Linked DNA regions of Arabidopsis thaliana. The protein of the gene in region 1 interacts with the protein of each later gene in a pairwise test. Each region holds a gene or a part of one and is shown in the gene's direction. Other genes may lie near its edges.

Region 1 (7,422 bases):
ACCTATATTATCGAGTTGACTTGACGACAACCTGCATTCAATTGCAAAGTGTAACCATACAAATGAATTAGCTGTCTCTTTGACTTCTAATGCCTCGTGAATTTACATTTGTATCTTCTCTCGTTTAATGGGGAACTGTAGAACACCCAATGATCTAGTTTTGTTACATCTTCTTCGTTAACTTGGATCGATATCTATTAAGGTTTCTGATAACGAAATACTTGAGACAATATTTCAATATCCTTACAAAAATTTCCGACTTTGGTTTAATAGATATCAATTGCCAAAGGAATATGCTCACACATACATTGAACCTGAACAAAGAACTTTTGAATACTTTTAAATAAACTCATTTCGAGAGATAGCTTTACAAGGAACTGAGAGATATATGGTCACATGCTTTTTTTGTTCCGGCAGTCACATGCTTTTCTCTCGACAAAAGTAGATATTACGTCTCGATGTGAGTATATATAATGGAATTGACACAGACCGAACGGAATAATTTCCTTTCTCGTGAAAGAATATAATTTTAAGAATTGAGTTACAATACATTCTCCCTCAAAATTCGTAATGAAAAGTTGTACTTTCTTAAAGGAAAAAACTATTGTTTTATAATACTTTGATGGACGTACCACTTAATAATGTATTACATTCACTACATCACAAAGTAATACTTGTATGATACATCAAGGGACAGAGCATATTGATTATCATGAAAAACTACTATAGTTGAAAATCATAAAAAAACAAAAGCACATTGAGATACATATCATATAATGGGGGAAAAAACACTCATACGCCTAAAAATTTCCAATGCATACCACTTCATGTTCGTAGATTTATTCAGAAAACGTGTAGGGTATCAGGATAATGAGAGAAACATTAATCAAATCTCACGTGAAGGGATGCAGAGTTAGTAAATGAGATATACAAGTACGATTGCGGACCACACATACACTTATACATGTTACTCGGTCAATGTCATTAATATTTAATTTGAATAAGAAAATACCAACTACATAAATGATTAGTGGTAATAGTATATACAATTATGGGAAGGAAGAATTTGGTAGTAGATACGATGGACCAATAAGGGAAAATCTCATACCGTATCTCCATTAATGACACCTTCTTGTTTAATCTATAAAATTTGGCTTCGATAATTAAACAGAATCTTAAGAACTCTTTTCGATATCTCTTACCTTATCTAACTATAACTTGAAAGAAGAGAATGAGGAAGCTCACGACAAGGTTCATGTTGGCATTGGAACATGTGCAGGCGACGTTTTTTGTGCGGTACACGGCTGATGTACGGTTTAACGTATTCCTTTGTATATGAGTATCATGTTGACAACAAATAAAACGACAAAGGAAATGAACTTTACTTCAACATAAATCTTTTAGACATGTTAAACTAGCTTATATCAAACAATGAATAGTAACGATAGGCTCTCAAAACTCTAATCGATCTATCCTGTCGTTTTCGATTTACGTAAGAATCTTATTAGTATCTTTTTGAATATCCAAAATAACTGATTTTTGTATATAAAAAGTAGTAATAATATTGGCATACAGGCTGGCTTCTTTAGTCAGAAAAGTCTCTGAAGAATCCAACAAAAAACCTAAACCACTTTTAACGTCATCCTTATCTTCGTTTTATTTTTCTTTTAATCAGAAAATCAAAAACAAAAACAGAAGAAACTGGAATCACTCAATAAGTATGGATACTTTACTTATACGTTTCTAATATGTATAGATACGTCAATTCAATACGCAAAATACAATTTCGAAAAAAGCGACGTTTGTGTTTCAGTGCTTTTAAATTGAAAACAAAATGTGTTTTCACACAACAAAATAAAAAATAAAAATATTCTTAAATTTGTTGTGAAACCAATACAAAATACAACGTTCAAAAAAGAAAAACTAAAACGACACACGACATATATGATTTTATAATTAAAGTCGAAGGAAAACGTAATTTTTTCTAAATCTAATGAAAATACCAACAAAAGTTTTTAAACTTAAATCGAAAGAGACCGAACCCAACAACTAAAATCATAAGCAACTAAACACAAACCCTTTAAAAAACATTAGTCTTCAGAATCAATAAATCCTTTATTTTGAAATAACTACGGATAAAATTTATTAAGTATATGCGATCAAACCAAAGATAACATTAATTACTTTCTATCGATATAAGAAACAGTCCCGTCTCAAGCTATAATTGAGCCTTTGCCAAAATAAAAATAAAAACTAAAATCTCTTAATAAAATTTTGTTTTAAGAAAATTGGGCCTTTTATGCTTATGATTGTTTTTAAAATCAGTAATAGATCCATGGCATTTGCCTAATTTGCCATGGGGTAAAGACGGTCTTGATAAGAGTCAATCTTTCACAACCTAAACTAAAGATTTTATAATCCGACAAATAAAACGACCGAAAAAACTTAAATACGTTTTTAGATACGACAACGATAATTAATGTGCATCTAATTACGTTTAAATAGAAATCTTCAAAAATTCGACCATACCAACACTGATATGCAAAGGAAAAACAAAGAATGTAACCTTCAAAATGCAAAAAGAAAAGATAATTAAAAAAGGAAATAACTTAAAAACGAAATGATTTAAATTAAATAAAAAAACGATCCACCTGTGAAACGCTCTCAAGTACCACAAAATGTACTCTCTCTATCACACACAGTTACATATTTCGTTGACAGCTGTCCCCACTAACAGCTGTTTCCCAAATCCCCAACCGTTTTCTTGGAAAGATTCTCTCTTTATTTTAGCCTCACTCTCTCAGACGCATTTCCCCCAATCGCACCGCCACTCCCTGACGTGCTTTTTTCTTTCTCTTTTAAATATTCAAATACGTATCAGACTACTCACGTTACATCTTCTTCATAACTAATCCAATTTAGAAATTACGCAAAATTACTTAAATATGTAGTTTTTCTAAATAGTTTTACATAACTACAATATATAAGAATTTTTAATTTGAATTTATTTTTTGAAAAAGGTTTGCATTTATAATTTGATGTAATATGATTTGATTTTAGTTTAATATCTTTGTTTAGTTATAGTTAGAAATACAGTACATGTTTAGTTATAATTTAACATTCATTAAAAAAACATTACATAATAATTTGTTTAATAGTATATATTTTAATAAATTTTAGTTTAGAGTTTATTTTGTTTGGTTCAAACTAAATTTCAGTTTTCTGGATTTTAAAATAATAAAACAAAACGGCATATACTTACATATTTAATTTGGTGTCAGTTAACTTATTTCAATTTGATTCAGTTGAAAACATAATTATGCACGTAAATAATCCAATTTACAGTTACGAAAAAATTAAGTTGTTGTTAACTAACGATAAAAAATTACCGGTAGAACCGGTGACCTCTCTAACCATCACACCTCGTATAAATACTCTCTCCTCTTCATACTTATCCTCTCAACAAAAATCGTTTCGTTCTTTTCCAAAATCCCCAAACAATAGAAACGCGTTTTAAACGATTTGATTAGTTTTAAATTAAAAAGAAGATCCGAGCGATGTCTGGTTCGACCCGGAAAGAAATGGATCGGATCAAAGGACCATGGAGTCCTGAAGAAGACGATCTGTTACAATCGTTGGTTCAGAAGCACGGACCAAGGAACTGGTCTCTGATAAGCAAATCAATCCCTGGACGTTCCGGTAAATCTTGCCGTCTCCGTTGGTGTAATCAGCTTTCTCCGGAGGTAGAGCACCGTGGATTCACGGCGGAGGAAGATGATACGATTATACTAGCGCACGCTCGGTTTGGTAACAAGTGGGCGACGATTGCACGGCTTCTCAATGGTCGCACTGATAACGCGATTAAGAATCACTGGAACTCAACGCTGAAGCGGAAATGTAGCGGCGGAGGCGGCGGAGGAGAGGAAGGGCAGAGTTGTGATTTCGGTGGTAATGGAGGGTATGATGGTAATTTAACTGATGAAAAACCGTTAAAACGGAGGGCGAGTGGTGGAGGAGGAGTTGTTGTGGTGACGGCGTTAAGTCCAACGGGATCTGACGTCAGCGAGCAATCGCAATCTAGTGGATCTGTTTTACCGGTTTCTTCTTCTTGTCATGTTTTTAAACCGACGGCGAGAGCTGGTGGAGTGGTGATTGAGTCATCATCGCCGGAGGAGGAGGAGAAAGATCCGATGACTTGTTTGAGGTTGTCTTTGCCTTGGGTCAATGAGTCAACAACTCCACCGGAGTTGTTTCCGGTGAAGAGAGAAGAAGAAGAAGAGAAGGAAAGAGAGATTTCTGGACTTGGTGGAGATTTTATGACGGTGGTGCAGGAGATGATTAAGACGGAGGTTAGGAGTTACATGGCGGATTTACAGCTAGGAAACGGCGGAGGAGCTGGAGGAGGAGCAAGTTCGTGTATGGTGCAAGGAACTAATGGTCGTAATGTAGGGTTTAGAGAGTTTATTGGATTAGGTAGGATCGAGTAGTGAGTGAGAAAAGAGAAGAATTGTGTAGCAAATGCAGAGAAAGAGCCAATTTCATGATTTGAGATTTGATTCATTCGAAAAAAAAACTGAATAAATGTATTGATTTTGATCATGACATGTCTTAGATTTAATGAAATTGGTCTATAAAAGGGTTGATGAGGCTGGTCCTCGAGGTGAATCAATGTTACCTTTTGATAAAGTGAAAGAAGAGCATGAACAAAGTCATTTCCATACAAAGAGGAGTTTACAGCATTCTTGATCTCTCTAGACTGGTCTTGCGATTCGAAGAGTGAAGTAATGAATTCTACTGAACCAAGTGACGATTTCCGTAGTTTGTTACCTTCGGTTACCGACTATAGCATCGCAGTAAAGGTTATAGTGTGAGAGACAACATCATATATAGATATTCAATGAATGATACAGAGTGTAGAACAGATCACCTCAATACAACTAACTGTAGCAGTAAGGCCTCTACCGGGGAAATACTCAAAGCACAAGGGAGGTCCTTCCCAATACTGTGGCTCTGCAAAAAAGAAAGAGTTTGATTGTGTTAATAACTATCAAGCGGTGTAAGATTACTGATGTTTGACAAGCAAATACCTTCCAATAGGATGTATGGTACCTTTCTCCATAGCAGCTGCTACAACTAATGCTTCCTTTTCACAATTTGGCATACAATACAACAAGGAGTCACACTTGCATCAATTCCTGCTTGATGATGTCCATAAATGGGTTCAATTGCTTTGCACGTAAGGCTCCTAATGTTTACCTATATAATGGAGAAGAAATATGCACTAGATATGTGTATAACTTGTTGTCCAAGCCAAATTTCCACAGCTCCATCCGGAACAACATCCTTCAGAAACTATCTAAAGAATTGGTTAACTTCAATTTCCACGGAAATCGCGATTTCTTGGTTAAAGTTGAAGTGGATGTAGCTGTTAAAGAGGTAAGCTTAGGTGATTATCACTCAGAAGAAGGTTAAAGTTAAGTCGCTTCTTTTTGCTTTGTGGATTTGGAGCTTAACTATGTTGTTATTGAAACTCATTAAAAACATGAATATCCAGTTATTCATTCACATAATCAGAATAATAAATTAATTACAATATATATTACATTGTACATTATTATCAAATGAATTTCAATAAGTTAACAAAAGAATATTCCTACAGAGAACAAATGAGGTTCTTCCAATTCTTGATTTTCCCAAGTTCTAAGCATAAAAAGAAAAATCTGAATAATTAATCTGAAAAAAAACTAAACAAAGCAATCAATTTCCGGAGCTAGACCAAAGCAGCCACATTAACTGGTTCGGTCGGGAACTTAGTGACCGGGTCCACTCGTGCTGGGACCTGAATGCTTACCATATTCAAGCGTCTCAGTCCGGTCCACGAACCGATGACCCTCACCACCAGAGCTAGGACCCGACTCCTTAATCGCCCCAAGTGACAAACCATCGAAGAACTTAGCCACGAGGTTCTCTTCAGCCTTCGTTAAACCCAAAGGACGAGCCTCCACCACAAAATTCGAACTCACCAACATGAAAAACAGAAACGAACCCAAAACAACTTTGTTCATCATCATTTTCTTTGAGTGGTATTTTTGAGTAGTAAAAACAAAAATGTTTTTTATTTTATTTTTCTTGTGTTCCCTAATTTATGAGATGACTAAATTTGTTGTGAGTAGTTTGTGGACTTGGGAGTTAGAATATATAGTAAAGTGAAGAGCCTTGAAGAAGAAGAAAAGTTTGACATTTTCAGTTTTTGACTTCATAAGCTTAAAATTCAACAAGACGTGAGATTTGAATTTTAGGCTCCTTCCTGGGAAAATACTGAGGTTGCTTCTTGTTCTTGGTCTTCCAATTTCTTTTTAAAAATATAATTTGCGAACATATAAAGCCATCAACGAGGAATGGAGATTAGTTATTTGGCTGAAGAAATTAAATGATTTTAATTTTGTCTCTGATTGTTTGGAATAGACTTTTAGTTGTAGACCATAAACTATGTGTGGAATTCAAATCTAGTATGGTATTTTATGTTTATCTATATAATATTGTGACAAAACCTAATGTCCTCACCTTCCTTCAAGTATACTATAATCACTGTAGATGACATTAACTCAAAAATGTTTTATGATAAGAGTTTTCTAAGGATTGATTACCACAAACATATATTTGATGATCTAAATAGTTACATAATTTTTCATAACCATTTTCACTACTTCGACCGTTAATTTGAAAGAATACTAAATTCACTACTTCTACCAAATTAACGGTCGAAGTAGTTTTTAGTTGAAAATTAAAATTGTTGGGTGGGCATCAAACTTGATTGATGTTACAAAATTTCAGGCCCCACCAATCTATCTATGTACTTTTCTTGTTTCTCACGTTGTTGTTATTTCCATTCAAAGTAGCCTTCTTTGAAATGTTCATGAGCGAAGTATCAGATTGTTGATATTTCAACCTTTGTGTGTGTATTTTTTTTCTCAAAACCATCCTTAAAAATCGTTTAGTGGAACTTAATGTATGACGACGAATATGTGTATGGAGGACTTTTCTTTTTAAGTACATTGTAAAATTTTCTTTATATTTTCACATTCATTGGTTTTGGTTATAAAAGAAAATAAACCTGTAGATTAGAAATTACCGAAAATGAGATCTGAGTTGGATGGTACATAAAAAAACACGAGACTCACCTATTCCCTATGTTCCTTTTTGTTTGATTTTTTAAGAAAAATATTTCAAAAAGATCGATGTTTTAAATTTTCTATGTAATATTTATTAATTATTATCAATGAATTGTAAACTTTAATAAAAATGATTGAATATCATTGATTTAAAATTATAGGAAACTGTAAAATACAAAAAATAATACATTTAAAATCAACATTAATATGTTTTCTTAATATGTGCATTTTTCTAAACAATCAAATAAAA
Region 2 (9,299 bases), on another chromosome or scaffold:
ACAAGTCTTCCATTTGTACGGAGGTTAATAATAATTAATACCAAATAAACGACAACACTTGAAGTAGTCAAAACTTTTATAGAATTATCTTGATTTGGTTGAGGTCGAGATTGACATCATCATCGTCGTCGCAGAGATCGGAGATCAAAATGGAGAGGGAAAGAAACGCAGGAGTGATGAAGAAGATGAGTCCAACAGGAACCATCCAAAGATTAGAATTTGTGGGATGGTATTTGTAAAGCCAATAACTTAGAAACAATCCTCCACATATATTCACAATCATCGAATACAAGAACACCATTGACGACGTACTCTTCTTCTCCTTCCTTGTCCTCTTCTTCATATTCGTGTTCATGCTGCTTTCGTGGTTCATTTGCAAGAGGATCTAAACAAGTTATGATTCGCCTTTTTATTAATTAATTTACTGGGAGTTAGGTGAAGTGAAAGAAAAGATGGATGACAATAATAGATTCTATATTGTTAGAGTGTATGAGTAAGTAAGTATATATGCAGTCGGGTTCCGGTTCGTGTAGGTCGGTTTAGAAAGTATATTTCAATTAAACTCGGTTTTTAGTCGTTTTTCTAACGAAATGTGTTTGGTTTTTAGAGATTATTTATGAGCAAAACTGAGTTTGTGTTTGGGTTTTAGATAGGGTACCTAAAACTCGATTAAACATTTAGACCAGTTTCCAGCTGGTCCGACTCCGATTTAGGTTGGTCAATGTATGAAAGGCAAATCTAAACATAAGACACATTTTATGTTATGTATTACTAAATTACTACAAAAAAAACTCCTACAACTCCAAAATACACAATGGTTTAGATTTAGATATACATGTTTTTAGAACTAAAATTATTGAGGTATTTTATAATAGTACTCCAAGTTATAATTTCTGTTACGAGGCGAGAATAAACGTGGGAGAGGAAGGAAAAAAAGGTGCCGTGCGGTGCAACTAGATTTTACATATTTGTACACATATTTCACGATTGAATCTTTCAAGACATTATATGCTTTATCAAATTTTATATATATAACAATTAGATAAGAAACACAATCTGACCCGACTCTACTATTTATAATTATACGTATGAATCTCTAACTTCGTTACTAAAACGGCAAATACTAAACCCTGAAAGGAAACTGTGTGAGAAACAGTTAGGCCCCTTGACCATCTTTGTTCAACGTTGTCAACGAAAAAAAAATGGAACCATAAAGGATAATTAATTGTATCACAAAAAGACAAACACAAATTATTGAATATACCATCACTTATCAGTATATAATTTTATACAAATGCTTTAAATAACAAATATTATGTAGAAAAAGAGAAAAGAAACTTAACTTGGTCAATTTGATCATTTGTGTAAACGATGATGCGGAACATATGCGATAATAATGTTATTGGATGGCAAAAAAAAAAAAAAGTATTTTAGTTGGGCCCTAATGTTAATTCACAATCAAGCCTAAATTTGGTTAATGGGCCAATCTTTCTTATATATGTAGGACTCGGATGTTCGGTCTACTCGAACTATCTACAAACCAAGCTAAACCGAAAGTAAATACAAAATCAAACCAAATAATAGTTTGGTTTATATAGGTTTTAAATTTTAATCCATATAATCCAATAAGTTCCAACTCATAACCAGGAAAATAAAAAAAATGTGGAATGAAGAAGTTCAAATTGATAACCAAATGAATTGCTTTCATATGATGGTGACGTGATGTTTTTGTACCGGACTCAATTATTGGAACGAGTGGTTCATTGTGCATTATTTGCATTTTCTTTTGTTCGTAATATACTAACATATCTAAAAAATTATTGTATCATTATTACTAGTCATGCAATAAATCATCAACTCACACTGTCTGCCACACTTTTTTAATTTTTCTGCGTATTTTGGCATTATCATATGAAAGAAAATAAGAGAAACAAATAAAGGAAAGAAGAAAAATAAAAACATTATCACATTCTGTGAAATCTCTGAGTTTATCAGGAAGGATATGTGGGGTTCATATTCATACCGTTCCCTTTACTCACATCGTCACATGGAAAGATCAACTATTTCAATTATCTATTTATTTATTATCATATACTTTAAATAATCAAATTTAGAACCGTTACAAACAAAAATAAACAGCTACATCAAATTTAAACAAAAGTAAGTATATGCGAATATTATCATAGATTTAAACAAAATTTGACCAAGATATAACAATCATCATTTAACTACCAACATTTGATATATGTATTTATTGTTCTTAGGTAGTTTCCAACTTCTAACTAAAGACAAAAAAAAAAGTTATATTTAGAGAATATTTCTACATGAAAAGAATACAACTATATCAAATAATATGATAACAGTCAACTTTGAACATCAGTAGAATGGAATGAATCACTGAAAGATATACTCATATACACATAAAGATTAAGGACATCAAATCACATCCCTTACAAATAAAACCATATCCACATAAATTTAAAACCCCAAAATTTTCATAAAATCCATATACTTAAACAGGAGTTTCTGTATATAGTTACCACACAAGAACAAAATTATGGAATTTTTTTATATGAATGAAGAATGAACGTTACGAACGTACACAAGTACAAATAACACGGGACTGACGCGGAACAGAGCAAAATAATGATTTTTGACATTACGTGGCATACGGGACCCACAATACGCGCGTGACTCCCAGTCGCGCCTATTAAATCTCTCGCTCGTCCACTTTCTCTCGTCAGCCTTAAAACCAGGCAGCCACTAGAAGAAGGAGAGATATTGAGGGAGAAGAATCACATTGATAGATTCGCCGCCGATCTAGAGCCGTTGATTTTCTTAATCGGAAAAAGAAAATGAGTGGAAGCAGAAGGAAGGCGACGCCGGCGAGTAGGACGCGAGTAGGGAATTACGAGATGGGACGAACTCTCGGAGAAGGAAGCTTCGCTAAGGTGAAATACGCCAAGAACACCGTCACCGGAGATCAAGCCGCTATCAAAATCCTCGACCGAGAAAAGGTCTTCCGTCACAAAATGGTCGAACAGGTTCGTTAATTGTGTTTGGTTTGATCACGTAAAATGATTATGGATTTGTTTGTTTTTAAGTACTATAAAGAACAGTTTAATTTCGTGATTAGGGACCCACATGTCCTCCTAGGTTGGTGTTCGGTTATTAAGGTTAATGTTTGATTAAAGTGTTAACAATAATATTTTAAAATATCGAATTTTGTATGAATGTTTTTGTTTCTGTATATATCTACACGATGCTGATCTTAGTACGCATTGATCAAGATAACTATTAACTATGATATGGATATGGTTTTGAAGTTCGAGTAGCTTTGTTTTTGATTTGGTTCGATTTGAATCTGTTGAAGATTTAGTTTTGTATGCTATATATGTATGATTGGAAGTTATGAGCAAGATCTCGAAGATATAATGATCATAAAGTTTTATTTTTTTGTTGTTGTGCAGCTTAAAAGAGAAATATCTACAATGAAACTGATTAAACATCCAAATGTGGTTGAAATCATTGAGGTACGAAACTAATTAGTTATCATTCCTTAGATATTTTTTAAATTAAGTTTTGAATCTTAGCGTGTAAAACATCTCTCTGTGGTAGGTTATGGCGAGCAAAACGAAGATCTATATCGTTCTTGAGCTTGTCAATGGAGGTGAACTCTTTGATAAAATCGTAAGTAACCTAACTTAGAGAATCTTCCTCTCTTTTCTCTTCACAAATATTGACATATGTTCTCTGTCTTTCTCTCTTCTTACTCTTATGTTAATTCTTGGATTTAAATCATATACATAGGCGCAACAAGGGAGGCTTAAGGAGGATGAAGCTCGGAGATATTTTCAGCAGCTCATCAATGCTGTGGATTACTGCCACAGTCGAGGTGTCTACCACAGAGATCTCAAGGTCTTTCTTTTGTTTTTGTGCACTCTTCTTGTTTCCTGTGATTACGATATTCATTCTTCTTAGTTCTTATTCAAGTTTCTTTTGTTATCATCTGTTCCTTGTTGCAGCCTGAAAATCTGATCCTTGACGCAAATGGGGTTTTGAAAGTCTCTGATTTTGGGTTAAGCGCCTTCTCACGACAAGTTCGGGTAATGCCATTATATTTTTCACTTGGCAATTAATTTCTGATATATATAACCAAGATATCAATTTGAATGAAGTGTTCTAAGCATTGTTCTTTTGAATGCAGGAAGATGGTTTGCTTCATACAGCTTGTGGAACGCCAAACTACGTTGCCCCTGAGGTATTATGTACTAACTTTCAGCACTTAAAAAGGCAAAGAATATGAAATGTTCTGTAGATCCTCTTTGGAAAATAAGATTTTAAGGAATTCAAGAACTGCTAATACGTTTTTAAAAAGGAAGGAAATCTAACAAATGCTATACGTATATATAGACTTCATTTGCAGAATCTTCTTTATTTATGATGTATATAAGAGATATGCCTTTAATGTTGTCTACTGCATTGTGTTGGATTTGCTGGCAGGTTTTGTCGGACAAAGGCTATGACGGTGCAGCAGCAGATGTCTGGTCTTGTGGTGTCATTCTCTTTGTGCTTATGGCTGGTTACTTGCCTTTTGATGAGCCGAATCTCATGACATTATACAAACGTGTACGTGTAAATTATCTCTCCCTCTGCTTCTTGATCTTCTGCAGTACTTTTCTAGTCTCATCTTTGGTGTTTAATATATACTTTAGATATGCAAGGCTGAGTTTAGCTGCCCACCATGGTTCTCGCAAGGTGCCAAGAGAGTCATCAAGCGTATTCTCGAACCCAACCCTATTACCGTAAGTGCCTCTTACATGAAGTAATAGTTGTGAAAATGTGAACATGACATGCTGCCAACCATAGATTGTGCAAGAGCTTAAGTATGTACTTATTTCTGAAATGCAGAGAATAAGTATTGCAGAGTTGCTCGAAGATGAATGGTTCAAGAAAGGGTACAAGCCGCCATCATTTGACCAAGATGACGAGGACATAACCATAGATGATGTTGATGCTGCTTTTAGTAACTCCAAGGTAAACACCGCCATTTCCAAATTCTCCATCTGGTTGTGTATATCATAGTTCGGTTTAAGTAAACCAATGTATTGTTACCAACTAATATCACTCTTTTTGTGCTGCTACTCTAGGAATGTCTTGTAACTGAGAAGAAGGAGAAACCTGTATCCATGAACGCTTTCGAACTTATCTCTAGCTCAAGCGAGTTCAGTCTTGAAAACTTGTTCGAGAAGCAAGCGGTAAGAACTTTTTTCTACTTACAGTTTGTCTTGATTTTCTAAAATCATGCATAGGTTTTATCTAACTAAATCTGATTTGTTGTTGTTTGCAGCAACTTGTGAAGAAAGAAACGCGGTTTACTTCTCAACGATCTGCGAGTGAAATAATGTCGAAAATGGAAGAAACCGCAAAGCCATTAGGCTTTAATGTCCGTAAAGACAACTACAAGGTCTGTTCTTCTTCTTCTTCTTCTTCTTGATTTTGTTTGTGTCAACTAATGTCTTTGTAGCTTCGTTAAACATTGTTTAAGTAAACTTCGCAGATAAAAATGAAAGGAGACAAAAGTGGTCGTAAAGGTCAGCTCTCCGTAGCTACAGAGGTAAGAAAGAAAAAAATACTCCGGTTCAGTTCGGTTTTTGGATTTTGATGAATATCGTTATCTAATTGTTATGGTTTGGTAATCGGTTTAATAGGTGTTTGAAGTGGCGCCATCATTGCATGTGGTAGAGCTTAGGAAAACCGGTGGTGATACCCTCGAGTTTCACAAGGTATGTGATTCGGTTTGATCTTCATCAAAAACCGGTTCGGTTTTGATCCGGTTAACATCTCTAGTTTAGTGTTTAAATTGGTTTTATGTTTGAATCTCTTTTGCAGTTCTACAAAAACTTCTCATCTGGATTAAAGGATGTAGTCTGGAATACTGATGCAGCCGCTGAAGAACAAAAGCAATAAGAAATAACAAGTTGTTCAATTCAAAGTTTTTAATCAATGTTGAACATGTATAATGAATAGTAAACATTCTGGAGTTGGCAATATACAAGTATTGCTGACAAAAGAGCCAAACTAGAACTAGAAGTGGTCTATAGAGGTAGATCACCATAGGTTAGTCAATAGCCACATATGTGATCATCCTCAAACTCGGTTTGAAACCTATAAATCAAAGTTCAAACAATTCAATTAGGCAAAAAATACTCTGCAAGCTGGCTATTTGAGTATAGTTGAAAGTTGCAACGATGTTGTCGCTTTATGGCAACGCGTTACAATGACACAACATATATAACAATTTGGAAAACACAATGATAGAATTATTAAAGAGAGGTTATCTTAGCTACATAGATCTACGTTTGCAACCAAAAAAAAAAAGTTTTATTTTGATGTACAGTCACACATTGATGACGGAGTGGTTTCTAGTGAGGAGTTGGTGTTGAGCAGACCAACGTTAATTGCCCAATAAGTTGTGTGAGTTGTCTAATCTTTCAAATCAAACAGCCCGTAAAGCCCATAAAGTCGCAAATTTCGCATTCCAAAGTTTTTAAGAATGGAGAAACGTTCAGATTCAGAGAGTGTAGAGATTTTGGGTGATTGGGATTCACCTCCTCCGGAAGAAAGAATCGTAATGGTTTCTGTTCCCACTTCACCAGAATCTGATTACGCGAGATCGAATCAACCGAAAGAGATCGAATCTAGGGTTTCAGACAAGGAAACAGCGTCGGCATCCGGAGAAGTGGCTGCGAGGAGGGTGTTGCCGCCGTGGATGGATCCGTCGTATGAATGGGGTGGTGGCAAATGGAAAGTAGACGGAAGAAAGAACAAGAACAAGAAAGAGAAAGAGAAAGAGAAAGAAGAGATTATTCCTTTTAAAGAAATAATTGAAGCTCTCCTTGGAAACTCCGGTGACAAGGTTCAACAAGACAACAAGGTTAATCAAAGTCAGAGCTCTGTTGAGATGTTGAAATCAATGGGCTTTAAGTTTCCTTAATTTGTGGTAATCTTTTGGGGCTTTTCTTGGTTTTAGTTTTTTTGTTTTGTTGTTGCAGAAAGTAGTAGACTAGTAGTAGGTATGCTTTTTCCTCATTATTGAAATTCTGTTTTAATCTGATAATGAAACTAAGAAATCCAAGATTTGCAAGATAAACTTTTGAACGTGAATATATGTCACTAGTGTTTTGGCCAACTCACGGCTTAAATCTCTGAGTAAGATTCTTCGGAGAGAAAAAAAAAAAAAGAATTTTGTAGGTTTAGTGTGAGATATTGTTGGATACAGTAAAAGCTATTGACGTTAGTTTTCGTTTAAGCTGTTTTTTTTTTGTTATGACTTATGATACAACTACAAATTTGAGTCCATACTAGTGTTATATGATAGCGTGTTTTGTTAATATCCTCGATAAAAATGTTATCTGAAAATACAATGTGAGAACGGAACCATTCTTCTTAGAATTATTTCTAAATTTAAGCAAAATAAAGTAATACAGTATTTCTGAAATGCAGAGTATAAGTATTGCAGAGTTACTAGAAGATGAATGGCTTCAATATCAGTAAACACATGTTGTGTTTCTACACTTTCTCTCTATCTCTGTCTTTGTTTCACTCTGTTTTGTTTTTGTTTAGAGACAAACACAAGAACTCGTTTTTACTCTTTAATAAAAGACTACATTCATGATATTGATGATTTCTTACAACACAACACATACATGTACTACTTCTCCTAGTTCTAGGCACTCTTACACAACCCTCCTACTTGTATTGGAACTCTAACAACAACTACTCTAACCTAGACTTGACTTACTTAAACAACACTTTACTTATATGGGACTAACATAGCAATTAGCCCAATTACTTATTACAAGACAACAAGCCCAATATCTTCTTTGACTTGCTCTTCTCATCTTTGCTATGATCTTCTTCTCACTGAAACTTTTCTTCTTATAGAAATTTAATCAAGGATTCATGATTTCAACAAGACAACTACAAGGTTTGTTCTTCTTCTTCTTCTTCTTCTTCTTGATTTCTCTGTGTCAATTAATGTTGTTGTGTCTTTGTTAAACATTGTTTAAGTAAATTTCGCAGACAAAAGTGGTCGTAACTCGTAAAGGTCAGCACTCTGTAGCTACAGAGTTATGAACAAAAACAGATAGGAATGATAACATTCCGGTTTAGTACGGTTTTAGATTTTCATGAATACGGCCGGTACCTGATTATTTTGGTTTGGTTATCGGTTATAATAGGTGTTTGAAGTGGCACCATCGTTGCACGTGGTAGAGCTTAGGAAAACCGGCGATGATACCCTCGAGTTTCACAAGGTATATTTTCGGTTTAATCTTTACCAACCGGTTCAGTTACCTCTAATTTTATTTGTTGTAATTCGGTTTTCTATGCTTAAAAGTTAAATCTCTTTTGCAGTTCTACAAAAACATCTGGATTGGAGGATGTAGTCTGGAATACTGATGCAGCCGTTGAAGAACAAAAGCAAAAAAAAAAAAAAATAGCAAGTTGTTCAATTCAAAGTTTTTAACTAAAGTTGAATGTATAATGAATAGCAAAAAATGCTGGAGTTGGCAAAATAGAACTATTCTTTACAAAAAGCCAAACCTAGAAGTTGCTACAGATTTAGATCCATATGTTAGCCAATAGCCATATGCGATCATCCTCAAAACTCGGGTTGGCTTACTTTGAGTTAGTCAGACCTATGAGTCAAAGTTCAAACAATTCAATTAGTCAAAAATACTCGGGAAGTTCGATATTTGAGTATAGTTGAATACAAAGTTGTCACTTTATGGCTACGGTTGGCAAAGCGTTACAGTGACACAATATCGACAACAATTTGGAAACACACAATGATAGAATAATAGAGAGAAGCAAAAAAGTTATGTTAGCTATAAATCTACGAACCAAGTATATTCTGAGTATAAAGTTTTGTTTTGTTATAAATGGGATTGGTTAATAATTTGCCAATCAAGTAGTGATTTTACTACAAAATACATAATGCTGGATATATAGCCAAGAATATGGATATAGATGGTCCATGTCTACGACAAAACTAGCAATGAAATTGTGGCGGATAAAAAGACTTGATCATTTGTCGCTATTATGTTGCTATTTGTTAATCCATAGATTTATTCAAAACAAATGACTACGATTTGGCAACAGAAACAATTGACAGAATTTATTTATCTGGTGATATGATGATATTGACATTTTCAATATCGAATTCGTAGTTGGATTCGGATTAATCGTGACCAAATATTTATAATTCCATATATTAGCATTAATCTTTCTTATTC

What was found.
Region 2: the proteins of MYB70 (region 1) and CIPK9 interact in a two-hybrid assay, tested with the Arabidopsis thaliana proteins (2 studies listed by BioGRID).

The regions. Positions count from the first base shown.
Region 1 is NC_003071.7:9,901,960-9,909,381, reverse strand, and holds MYB70 (myb domain protein 70), read left to right. Parts: upstream 1-3,349; 5' UTR 3,350-3,557; coding exon 3,558-4,487; 3' UTR 4,488-4,876; downstream 4,877-7,422. Other genes in the region: AT2G23270 (uncharacterized protein), read right to left, coding at 5,811-6,071.
Region 2 is NC_003070.9:61,069-70,367, reverse strand, and holds CIPK9 (CBL-interacting protein kinase 9), read left to right. Parts: upstream 1-2,742; 5' UTR 2,743-2,855; coding exon 2,856-3,044; intron 3,045-3,470; coding exon 3,471-3,533; intron 3,534-3,618; coding exon 3,619-3,690; intron 3,691-3,810; coding exon 3,811-3,918; intron 3,919-4,025; coding exon 4,026-4,106; intron 4,107-4,207; coding exon 4,208-4,261; intron 4,262-4,503; coding exon 4,504-4,629; coding exon of another isoform or gene 4,630-4,635; intron 4,636-4,715; coding exon 4,716-4,805; intron 4,806-4,911; coding exon 4,912-5,037; intron 5,038-5,150; coding exon 5,151-5,258; intron 5,259-5,350; coding exon 5,351-5,467; intron 5,468-5,560; coding exon 5,561-5,617; intron 5,618-5,711; coding exon 5,712-5,798; intron 5,799-5,892; coding exon 5,893-5,970; 3' UTR 5,971-6,201; downstream 6,202-9,299. Other genes in the region: AT1G01150 (Homeodomain-like protein with RING/FYVE/PHD-type zinc finger domain-containing protein), read left to right, coding at 83-253; AT1G01130 (CBL-interacting Serine/Threonine-kinase), read left to right, coding at 6,557-6,811, 8,244-8,318, 8,419-8,463. UniProt on the Arabidopsis thaliana protein: CIPK serine-threonine protein kinases interact with CBL proteins. Binding of a CBL protein to the regulatory NAF domain of CIPK protein lead to the activation of the kinase in a calcium-dependent manner. Involved in K(+) homeostasis under low-K(+) stress.